Linked DNA regions of Xenopus tropicalis. The protein of the gene in region 2 purifies or fractionates together with the protein of the main gene of each other region. This does not show direct contact. Links are inferred from orthologs where the notes say so. Each region holds a gene or a part of one and is shown on either strand. Other genes may lie near its edges.

What was found. Proteins that work in one complex are often made in the same cells at the same time.
Region 1: the proteins of ksr2 (region 2) and ywhae purify together in Homo sapiens (affinity purification with mass spectrometry; 3 studies listed by BioGRID and IntAct, with this or other methods). This does not show direct contact. The link is inferred for Xenopus tropicalis from reciprocal best matches to the Homo sapiens genes KSR2 and YWHAE.

Annotation. Positions count from the first base shown.
Region 1 is NC_030678.2:46,049,287-46,054,434, forward strand, and holds part of ywhae (14-3-3 protein epsilon), read right to left. Parts: intron 4,474-5,148; coding exon 4,367-4,473; intron 3,704-4,366; coding exon 3,497-3,703; intron 3,118-3,496; coding exon 2,981-3,117; intron 1,844-2,980; coding exon of another isoform or gene 1,836-1,843; exon of another isoform or gene 1,802-1,835; intron 1-1,801. UniProt on the Homo sapiens protein: Adapter protein implicated in the regulation of a large spectrum of both general and specialized signaling pathways. Binds to a large number of partners, usually by recognition of a phosphoserine or phosphothreonine motif.
Region 2 is NC_030677.2:165,132,334-165,137,983, reverse strand, and holds part of ksr2 (kinase suppressor of Ras 2), read left to right. Parts: intron 1-745; coding exon 746-1,253; intron 1,254-5,650. UniProt on the Homo sapiens protein: Location-regulated scaffold connecting MEK to RAF. Has very low protein kinase activity and can phosphorylate MAP2K1 at several Ser and Thr residues with very low efficiency (in vitro).

The sequences.
Region 1 (5,148 bases), on a different chromosome or scaffold from region 2:
TCCTTTTTCCAGCTTGAATGGCTGCCCCCGTGGCTACACAGCAGCTTATTATATAAATTATAGTAGTGTTACTGAAGCAAACACACCAGTCTTACCAGTGCAGGGCAACAGTGCATTATATTTTTATTACTTTAAAGCTCTTTCATTTTTTGGTGTTCCTGTTCCTTTAAAATCCCCATCAATCCTGCACAGCTCCCATGAATCCATTTTTACCTTGATATACCTGGGCAGCCAAGATCATTTAAGCTTATAGAAACATTTTCAGGGGCTTGTGATTAGCCAGCTGGGCACAATGATGTGGTTGGACTAGGGAGGTGGTCTGTGCCCCTTAGTATAGCAATTCAGTAACTACATATCGGACAGCTAGATAAAATTATATTTTGCATAAAAGAATATGAAGCCAGGTAAGCTTTGGGCCAAATCTTGTATGGAACCATCTGGCTGCCTTGATCTATAATAGCTTCTTTGCAGATCTCAGTAACCCTGAGACCTTTACTTCAACAATGTAAACTTTTTTATATTAGGTTAAAAATGCCTTGCAGTGGGCTGGGGGTACTATACAGGTATATACACACAAATACCCTTTTCTTTTTACAAATAACTGTTCCCACAGAATATACAGCGGTTGCTGGCAGGCATCAAATTCTAAATAAAAAGCCCACATGCGTGTTTAGATCACACACCTAAGATCTCCATGCACAGCTTTAATGTTACTTTCTAGAGAGAAGAGCTGTTAATTACACACATTACATAAAACAAATTAGGGACACTGATTCACATCACTATGCAAAAAAGCATTATTGATACAGAAATACACTGCAAACCAAGAACAATTTGAATTTTTTAGATTTTTCTATGATTCAAGAGAACAAACTGAACAGTAGGAAAGAGAAACTGAAACAAATAAACCAGTGCACTGTTAAGGCCAGTATGGCAGCAATCTGTGTATCACTGAGGAACGACTACCGACACCTCCCAGACTGTCTCTAACCTAAAGTTAAAGCCAGTTTAAGGGGCCTGGGAAAAAGTTCCTAACGAGTCAGAGGCAGACTATTATGGGTTTTATCTCAATCTGAGGAAAAATAATGTATATTTCTAAAGTTCAGATAGTATTTATGCACCCAACAGAACAAGTCCATGTCACAGAGAGGCATATTTCCCCTCCTTTCTGCTTATTTTTAAGTATTATTATTACTCTTAATGATGCTCTTCAGTAAAATGTGTTTAAAATGTGTTTTTTGGCACCAGAGAAGAGACTCTAGACTAGGGCAGTAATGGGGGTTTTCCAATTATGCGCTAGAGCATGAACCAGCATGAGTAATCACTTTAGCCTACACATTAGCAAGCTTCTGTAACCTCTAAGAGAGTCCTGTGGTATAACTGAATGAGTGAAGCAAAAACATATCTGTGTACAAGAACTGTTCCATGTAGGATAACTGTTGGAAAAAATATATAAAAACACAAAGGTTTCATCATGCAAGGAACTTCACTAGTTTAAAAAAATAAATAAAAATAATATGATTTGCAACCATCCAGCCGAAATATAATGCAGCCATTTAATCCTTTTTGTGCTCACTGGGCACAAGAGCAAATGAGTGGAACAAGTCACTGTCACACACCAAGGAATTGAACTGCACTGCTGGTACCACAGAAAGGAATGAAATGTAAACATTTTCAAGCACAGTAAAAGGGTTAAGTCTTCACCACAAACAGGTAAACACAGATGCACAGAGCACAATGTAAAATGCAGTGGTTATGATGGAAAACAAGGCAGACTATAGATGCATCTGGATTAACTTACAAAGAATATTTAGGAAATGAACCTGTGTTTCCTTTTAAGAATCTACACAGAAAGGATGGGGGGGACATGAAGGGTGAAAGTGATGTTAAAGCATGTATACGAATAAAAGCTAAAATGACTGACATATGAATTAAACTTCCAGATTTTTATATTCCCTATAACTTTTAACATGAATAACTCTAGTCACCTTTAGCACTGCCTAACAATACTTGCACTTATTTTACCTACAGACCCGACCACCTGCATTGTCCCATGTTTTCCCTGAGAAAAAAAGAAGGCACAAGTGTGGGACCTGTTATACAGTATGCTCTGGTCCTGGGTTTTTCTGGAGATCTTAGGTCAACTGAATTATTTAAACATTAAATAAACCTTCTGGGTTTTGGCCTTCTTGTAACATGCAGTAACGTATACATGTAAATATAGGGGTTCATTACTTAAGATACAGCACTGCAAGTGAAGCTACACAAAACAGTGCATATTATTTTGCACACAATATGAACCATTCATAATGCAGTGGAGCCCTATTTTTGTGTTTATTTAAGATGCCAAAAAAAAAAAAAAAAGGAAAAAAAAAATACCTGACAGATAAAACCTAGTAATTTGGGCTATGCTGAGCAGTAACTGGAATAATGTTAACCATGAATGAGTACTTGAATAGTAAACTATACAAATACTGGATAACAGTAAATTGTCAAGTATCAAAGCACAATGGGTTGTTCTCAGCTACGTTTATCTAAAAAAAAGTATGAAATATCCTACTTTATTTTATCCACAACAGGGCAGGAGCTGCAAGCAAGGCCTGTGAATAAATGCCTTGGAACAATGTTTTAAAGCCTAAGCTGATATGTTACATTATCTTATAACCGCTTTTGTGGGCACCAAATTGCACACAGTAGTATTTTTTTTTTTTTTTACAAATATGCACTCTTTTTCTAGGATAGGAGACGATCTTAATAAATCAAACCTTGTTTAGCCTGGAAATGTAAACTGTAGTTTTCAATAAAAGGCATGGGGAAAAAAAGGTGCAAAAAGTGTTTTCTATTTTAGTCAATAAACCTGCTATAAAAGTCTGGGACTTGAAAAGATCAGAAAGGGGTCACTGATGTGGCATAATATGCAAGAAAGGACACAACCAGGCTTATAAAGCTATTTTCTGTAAAATAAGCAAATTGTACATACCATCACCTTGCATATCTGAAGTCCATAGTGTCAGATTATCACGTAACAATTGCATGATAAGTGTGGAGTCTTTGTAACTTTCTTCACTCAGTGTGTCCAGTTCTGCAATGGCATCATCAAATGCTGCTTTTGCCAACCTTTAAAACAAAGTACTATTAGCTTAAGCAAGCCCTCTCTTTTATGTTAATATCGTTATACAAAAAGACTTTCTAAAATAGAAGACTTACTGCTCAGAAGAACTTTCAACCATAACTGAGCACTTTAGAGTTTATCCTAGATGGTCCCTCACACTGTAGTCTTCAAGGCAGCCAACACCTACTGATCTTGAGTTATTATAACCATGGGAAAAGTAGCACAGTAAGAGCCACGGTATCCCTTCCTCCTAGTATCACCTCTTCTATCCCACTCCCTTCTGCTCTGCATTACAACTTACAGTTCTATTTTACTGTAGGCACAGATTAAAGCAATACATTAGATTGCCCTTTATACTGTACTGTTTTACACTGAAACACTCACCTGCAGGCACGGTCAGGGGAATTTAGAATTTCATAGTAGAACACAGAGAAATTAAGTGCAAGACCTAAACGAATTGGATGTGTTGGAGGAAGTTCTGTCATTGCAATATCACTTGCAGCTTTGTAAGCTACCAAGCTGTTCTCTGCAGCCTCCTTTCGGTCATTGCCTTGAGCAAACTCTGCCAGATATCGGTGATAGTCACCTTTCCTGTGAAAAGAAAAAAGCAAGAAAGGTAAAACTATGCAACAAAGCAATCTTATTTAATAATTATTTTACATTTAAAATATTAAATATATATAATGAGACAACAGTCCTGTTCAACATACAGGATATTAAGCTATGCTTGTCCCCAGTTTTTCTCTCTAGTCAAGACAATAGTTTAGGGTCAAGACACCAAAAAGTACCCCATTTCTTAGATTTTATGATAAGACTGCAACTTTTTTTTTTTTGCAGCCCATATTCCACCCTATCTTCCATTTACTTTCTATCAGGTCTAATTTTAGCTGTTAAAATCTGTGCCATATGGGTGCAAACAGGATTAAATGAAAATTAAATTAAAATCAGGAAAGAAATGGTATAGGAGAAATGAAGCCCAAAAACAATTGATGGTTCTCTAAATAGTAAAAATACAAAGGTTTCAGGAAAACTATTGCAGTTACAATTATAGGCTTTACGATGAATTGGATCTCGGTGACTGGATAGTTGGAATCAAGCACGGAGCATGCACTCCTATGTAATCACACTTTAGGTGCAAGATTCAAAAACGGAATAAAAAAAATTAAAATATGAATCTATGCAGCCCTAACCAAATCGTTTCTTTCATATTTCACACTTAAAAGAACATTCCCAAACAATTTGGTTAATGCTTACATTTTATAGTAAAAAACCTTGGATTCTCCACTGTTTGCAGCTGGAATGAGGTGCTTGTCCAGTACATCCAGAATGTCATTACAGATAGATTTCAACTCAGCCTCAACCTGAAATAGAATCCCACACGTCAAAACCCCTCTCTTGGTAAGCCACCCCTAAAAAGGCAAGTGATGCTTTTTTCATGATTAAAAACAGGAATGTTCAACACAACTGAATTAATGTTGGACAAGGGGAATAGGCCTATGTAGGGGCCATAGCCTTGCCACTTTCCCGTATCCTTGAGTATCTCTTCCTGGTCCTCATAATAATGGAGAAAGGCTACTGACAAAATCAAGTCAACTTACAAAAGCTTACAAATAAAGCATTCCAACTACTGGAATCATGGGTAGTTGCACAGCACTTGTTGCTCTAAGATTCAGTGGGCTAGCTTAAAGGCTTTTTTGTGGCACTATTGCTGATAACAGGTTTCTGTATTGCCTTGTGAATGTGTCAGCTATTTTTTTTCCTATAAAATTGGCCATACACGCTACACATTGTTGTGCAAAATCGTTCATCCACTATGCTAACAATAAGAGCTGAATTGTTAGATATGCAGCCAAAAACAAAAGAATTCTTTACCCCATCTAATGATTCAGTATTAACATTACAATGTCTGGGCAACTTCAAAAGCGCCCAATCAAAATTTTCAGTCCTACCCAACTGACGAGGCGACCGATATCCGATTATTGCACAATTTCGTGCAATACTATTGGTGCACGTTTGGCCATTTTTATTGTAGAGGG
Region 2 (5,650 bases):
GGAAAGGTAAAAACTAAATAAGCTTTATCAGAAAGGTCTATGTAAATACAGCCATAAACACTCACAGAAATGCTGCACTGACTTCTCTGTAAAAAGATTAGTTGTGTCTGTTTTCCTGTGCCACAGACACACAGCTTTCTGCTTCCTGCTCTCTCCTGCTCCCCCCTCCCTCAAGAATGCTAAGAACTCACTCCCCCCCCTTAGGAATGTGGATCTGAGCCAATCAGCAGGAAGCTGACTCATAGTCTAACTAACTAAGCATGTTCACTTGGTCCCGGTGTCTGTGCAGGAGCGAGGCATTATGGGAACTTTCTTTACACAACTCAGCATATTTTCTTCCTGTTTGGCTTTAGATCTTCTGAACAGGAGAAATATGGGGAGACTTAAGGGCACTATTAAGACAACTGAAAGTATGCCTGCAGCTTGAGATTAACTCTTTACTAGCCTTTCCTTCTCCTTTAAAGTGAATTAAATTAAAAAGTATTTCACATTTTGTTAAAGACAGCTGAAAGGGCATGCATGGTGTGTGTGAAAATGAAAATTAGGACTTCCAATGTCCATTGAAAATGCTCTTCAGGCTACAACTTGCACCAAATATGAAATAGCATTGGTCATTTGGGGACAATGTTCTCTTTCATTTTAGCTGTTCTGTGCTTTCTTGCAGTTGACTATGAATAATGATTTATATAGACAGTCTAACCACATTTGGATTTATCTCCCTCTCTGCTTACCTCTCTGATTATAGGAAGCAGCCTTTCAAAACAAGATTGGGCCATCCAGTGGCCAGCAACAGAATCAGGGAAGGAAAATAATCCTGTCACACAGCAGGAGACTGCCCAGTGGATACGAACCCACCTTTCCCAGAGCCCAAAAGTACAGTCTAAATGCATCCAGCACTACTGCCATTTGCCAGTGGCTCATGGGCCTATGTATACAAACGTTGATAGATTGACTGTTGAAGCCTACCCAGGCTTGTGCCAACTTTCTGAGACTGGGCATCGATCATTACCACCATCCCCGCGCCAGAGGCACACAGCACACAATAACCCACCACGAACACCTAACATAGTGACGACTATGACGCCTCCTGGTACACCCCCCGTAAGAAGAAAGAACAAACTTAAACCCCCAGGCACCCCTCCTCCTTCATCCCGAAAACTCATTCACCTCATACCTGGATTCACATCTCTGCATCGAAGCAAGTCCCATGAGTTCCAAGTAGGGCATCGAGTGGATGAATCTCATACTCCCAAGTAAGTCAAAGGTTATCTTATGTCTACATACCGAAGCATGATACTGAAATCATCTATCCCTCATACATAATAAAAGGCACTAAGTTTGTCAAGGAGCAGTAACCCATAGCAACCAATAAGATGTTTGCTTTTAAACATGTGACCAATAATTTTTAACTGCTGATTGGTTGCAATGGGTTACTGCTCCTGGACAAACTTAGTGCCTTTTTTTGCATAACCTCTTAAGCCTTGTTAGGACATGTTTAGTCGTCAAATAGTTGCAGTAATAGCTTTAAAATGCATTGGACCTAATTGTCAGAGGCCCCTGAAGTGCTTATTGTCCTGCTGTGTGTGTTTGTCTTAATAATAACCATTTTTAAAAGTATAATTTGATTCCATAAGAAGAATAGATGCTATAACATTATTATTAAACAATGGTATGTTCCTGTGTCCAAGCTCGGACAAAAACTATATTTTACAAGTTATTGCTGTTTCCAGTGAATCTTTGCCATTTCTTTTCACAACTAAAAATAAGTGTAATATATGTAAATGCAGTTGGATGATGCTCTCTCTATATATATACAGTATATATAGAAACTATATAATAATGTTCTGATGACATGAAGTTTTGTTGTAAAAATATGTTCATACACGTGCATACATACACATACAAACACACAAAGAGAGCTTTTAGTACTGCAGATATGTAGCTCAGATTTCCGGTTCATGTTGTGGATGGTCTCCATGAACAACAGATACAGCAGTGATGCCCTTTCATGTGAACTGGAGACCCGAGTATCCCAGCAAGCAGATGGGCTTCAGAATCATGAATTAATTTAAAAAATGATAAGCGGAGATGGGTAGGGAAAACAGGACCCCTTGTTCTGCAGCATAATGTAAACTCTGCTTCCTGGTCCTTGATTTAATATACAAATTGTCTGCTGTTTTGGAACATTTTTTCTGTTGTTAACCCTTAGGCCACATGTATAGATGTTAAAATTATAGTAAACTGTCTTATTTGTGCTTTTCAGTACCGATTTCATACCCAGGATTTTCTAGATATGGGGTGTTTTAAATCCTGCTTTTGAGCAATAACTCTCAAAGAAATCTTGCCTGTGTTCAGAAGCAGTGTATTTATAGGGGGTGGGGAGAGGCACATAGACATCACCCCTCCCAGTCCCTAACCATCCCCTAACTTGTGAGCCTGAATTAATTTCTTAAAAATGATTTCCTTTTTCTCTGTAATAATAAAACAATACCTTGTACTTGATCCCAACTAAAATACAACTTGGAGGCAAAGCATTCCTGTTGGGCTTAATTAATGTTTAAATGATTTTTCAGTAGACTTATGGTTCAGAGTTCCAAATTATGGTACGGCCCCTTATCTAGAAAACCCTAGGCCCCATGGACTCTGGAAAACAGGTCCCATACCTGTATAAGAATTCTGGGAACTACTTTCCTAACTCAAAGCATTATTTCATATATAAGTTTTAGAATGTTTTCAATGTACTTTAACTGTTCCATTTGATAAAATATAATGACCTTTTGACAAAAATATAACTTTTTAGTTACTAATTATTTGTGTGCATAGTTGATTTATAGAAATGTTATGGGTGATAAAACCAGAACATAAAAACAAAGTGAGCCCATGCCAGTAGCTGAATGAGAAGTTATAATGCGCTTAAGACACAGTCATTTATGCCCCACTGAGATTTTCTGTTATTAGAAGATGATTAATGTTATCAGAATCATTAACTAGGTACTGTATAGTTAACCTCAACAGGAAGCCCATCAGGAAATTCATGTCTCAATTTCTTTTCATTGACTACTAAAAGAGTAATAGATTTGTTATCCAGAGAGAAGGCTAAAGCGAGTAATCACTGGAGGTTCAAGAGGTTGACTTTTGTCTAGTACCAAAATACTCCATAAAAAATGTTATATTAAACAAATAATAAATACATGTAAATTGGTTTCTAATGGACATGTTTAGTTTTGCTGCATTCATTTTCCATCATCTAATAAGAAAAGGGTTTTAGTTTATTACTCGACAAAAACACCTACAGGAAACAAATAAGTTCAGAATGCATGTAAGAAATTGTTTTCCTATTAATCTCAAAAACCAATTAATCAACATTTATAAAGAGCAAAGGTAAACAGAATAACAAGCACTCGCAAGCTGTCTGAAACACAGGAGGCTGGTCAATGGCACTTCTTAGAAAACAGATACACAGCTAATTCTGTATCAGTGCTAATAAATTAATTCTAGGGAATCATATTATTAGTGGTCCAGGAAAAAAGACAGAACATAATGATTCATCAGTTTTCTACCGTTAATTAATTTTTTCAGCTATTTAAAAAATGGGCAAATGTAATAAAATGTGCAAAGTTTGCTTGTAGTCTAATCACCTATAGTTACAAATTGGCAGGAAGCATTTAGTGGCCAATGTGGCATAGTTCTAGTGACATGACTCCCTATCGGCAGATCCTGCGACTGCAGTGGTAACAGGGTTGCCCAGAAAGGGCTCATATCTTTCCTTTCTGCCTTCACCCATGCTGTCTGATCAATTTACTATCAGATGTGGGAGGAAGGGGATTGCAATAACTTAACATTGTGGGGGGGGCTCAAAGCATTTTTTTTACTGGGAGAGGGGGAGGAGGCAGGTAAAGTTAAGTTATGCCACCAGTTATTGCACCTGGGGAAGCCAAATGCATTTAATTACATATGGGGAATATTACCTACTTAACAGTTAGCATTGGGTCAAGTGGAAACCTCAACTGGATTGGACCTTTTGTGGGGGTAAAGAATATTTATTTTTGATAGGGGGTTGATAACACCTGTGTAAAGTACATTTTATTAAAAGGCAAATTAGGAAGAAAAAAAAAAAATTATTGCATTACAGTCACAGTATCAGTAGTTATAAGATATTTAAGATACATTAAGAAATCCATAGTTAAGCATCATAGGAAAAATAATTAACCAATATTTTTATTTGTTCAAGAGCTACGTACAATGGATGTTTCTAAAAGATGAGGTAAAATCAGGGGCCAGCTTTATGGTGGAACATTGAGGGCATTAGCTCTGCACCTTTAGAAGGGCTCTAAAATAAATGCCTACAATTTTTAGTGTTCATGTAGAATTATCCAACCTGCAGCCATCCCACAACCACCACTCATAGAATTCCCCTGATAGCCTTTGGCCTGGGCTTAAGGTTGGACATTATTCATTTTTCATATTTTTTTATCAAGTGGATGGGATTCCATACTTTCTGATTTTCCTGGGGCCCCATCTTTTTTTTACACTGGCCCTGGTCACAAATGACAAAAAAAAAAGGTGATGACAGAGTAACAAAATTTTTCCAGTATGTTCCTATAAAAGCTATTTTACTGCCTGTTGTGCTGTAACCACATTAAATCAACTCCTTTTAGTTTCAGGCTAAACAAGCGCAATGGTGCTTGTCAAACTCTTTATTTGATTTAAGTGCTGTCTCATTACATTTTATTCTTTCATTTCGCCAGATATAGCTGCTGCAATGAGCAAACACGAATGCACAGTGGCAGACTGCGGCATCGGAGAAGCAGGGGGCCAGTGTAACCCTGCCATGTTTGTGTACTGAAGGCTGTCCCGTGACATTTGCCTCTCACATGGCTACATTATTTATGATAATTGGCATACCCATGCCATCTGTTTATTTGAAAATATTGTATTGCCATTATTGCAACATTATCAACCTCGGCTGTGCACATCACTGCATGTGGTAATTACCCTGCTTTCTTTGGAGGGGGTGAGTATCACCCTATAGAGTGTCATTTAGTAGACTGGCTGCACAGTTATTGCCTACTGCTGGTATCTGGGTGCCAATGCAGCAAAAACACTTACTGATCATGAATCACAGAAGATTTGCTATTAAAGTATAACAATAATTTTGACATTCAAAAAAGACAGATATATAAAGTCTTTTCAGACTGATGAATTTAGATGGGCTTTTACTGTAGGTATTGTGGTGCAATGGAAATGTAATCACAGCACTGTAATTTATAGCATTCCTGATCAGAGAGCAAAGGAAAGAATAACACTTGCATTCAGCGGGGGGACTATATTTGTTATTAGGAAGAAGATAATGAGGAAGAAATTTAAATGCAAAATAAACCTAATTTATGGCACTAAAGCCAAATGCATTTTAGTACATCAGAGACAATTTTTTATATATGTAATAAAATAAGCAGAGGTGGGATTTTGTTGGCTGTATTGAATCTAAATTGCGTGGACTTTTTAGGGTCATAAAGCAGAGATTTATCACATCAACCCAGCAAGCAGTCATAGACTGAGTTTAATTAATCCATAGCTATTTATTAACTTTTCTTTACCGCCTCAAAGGATTTTCAAAAATATAAAAGTGGGCTACCAATTATTTTTTCAG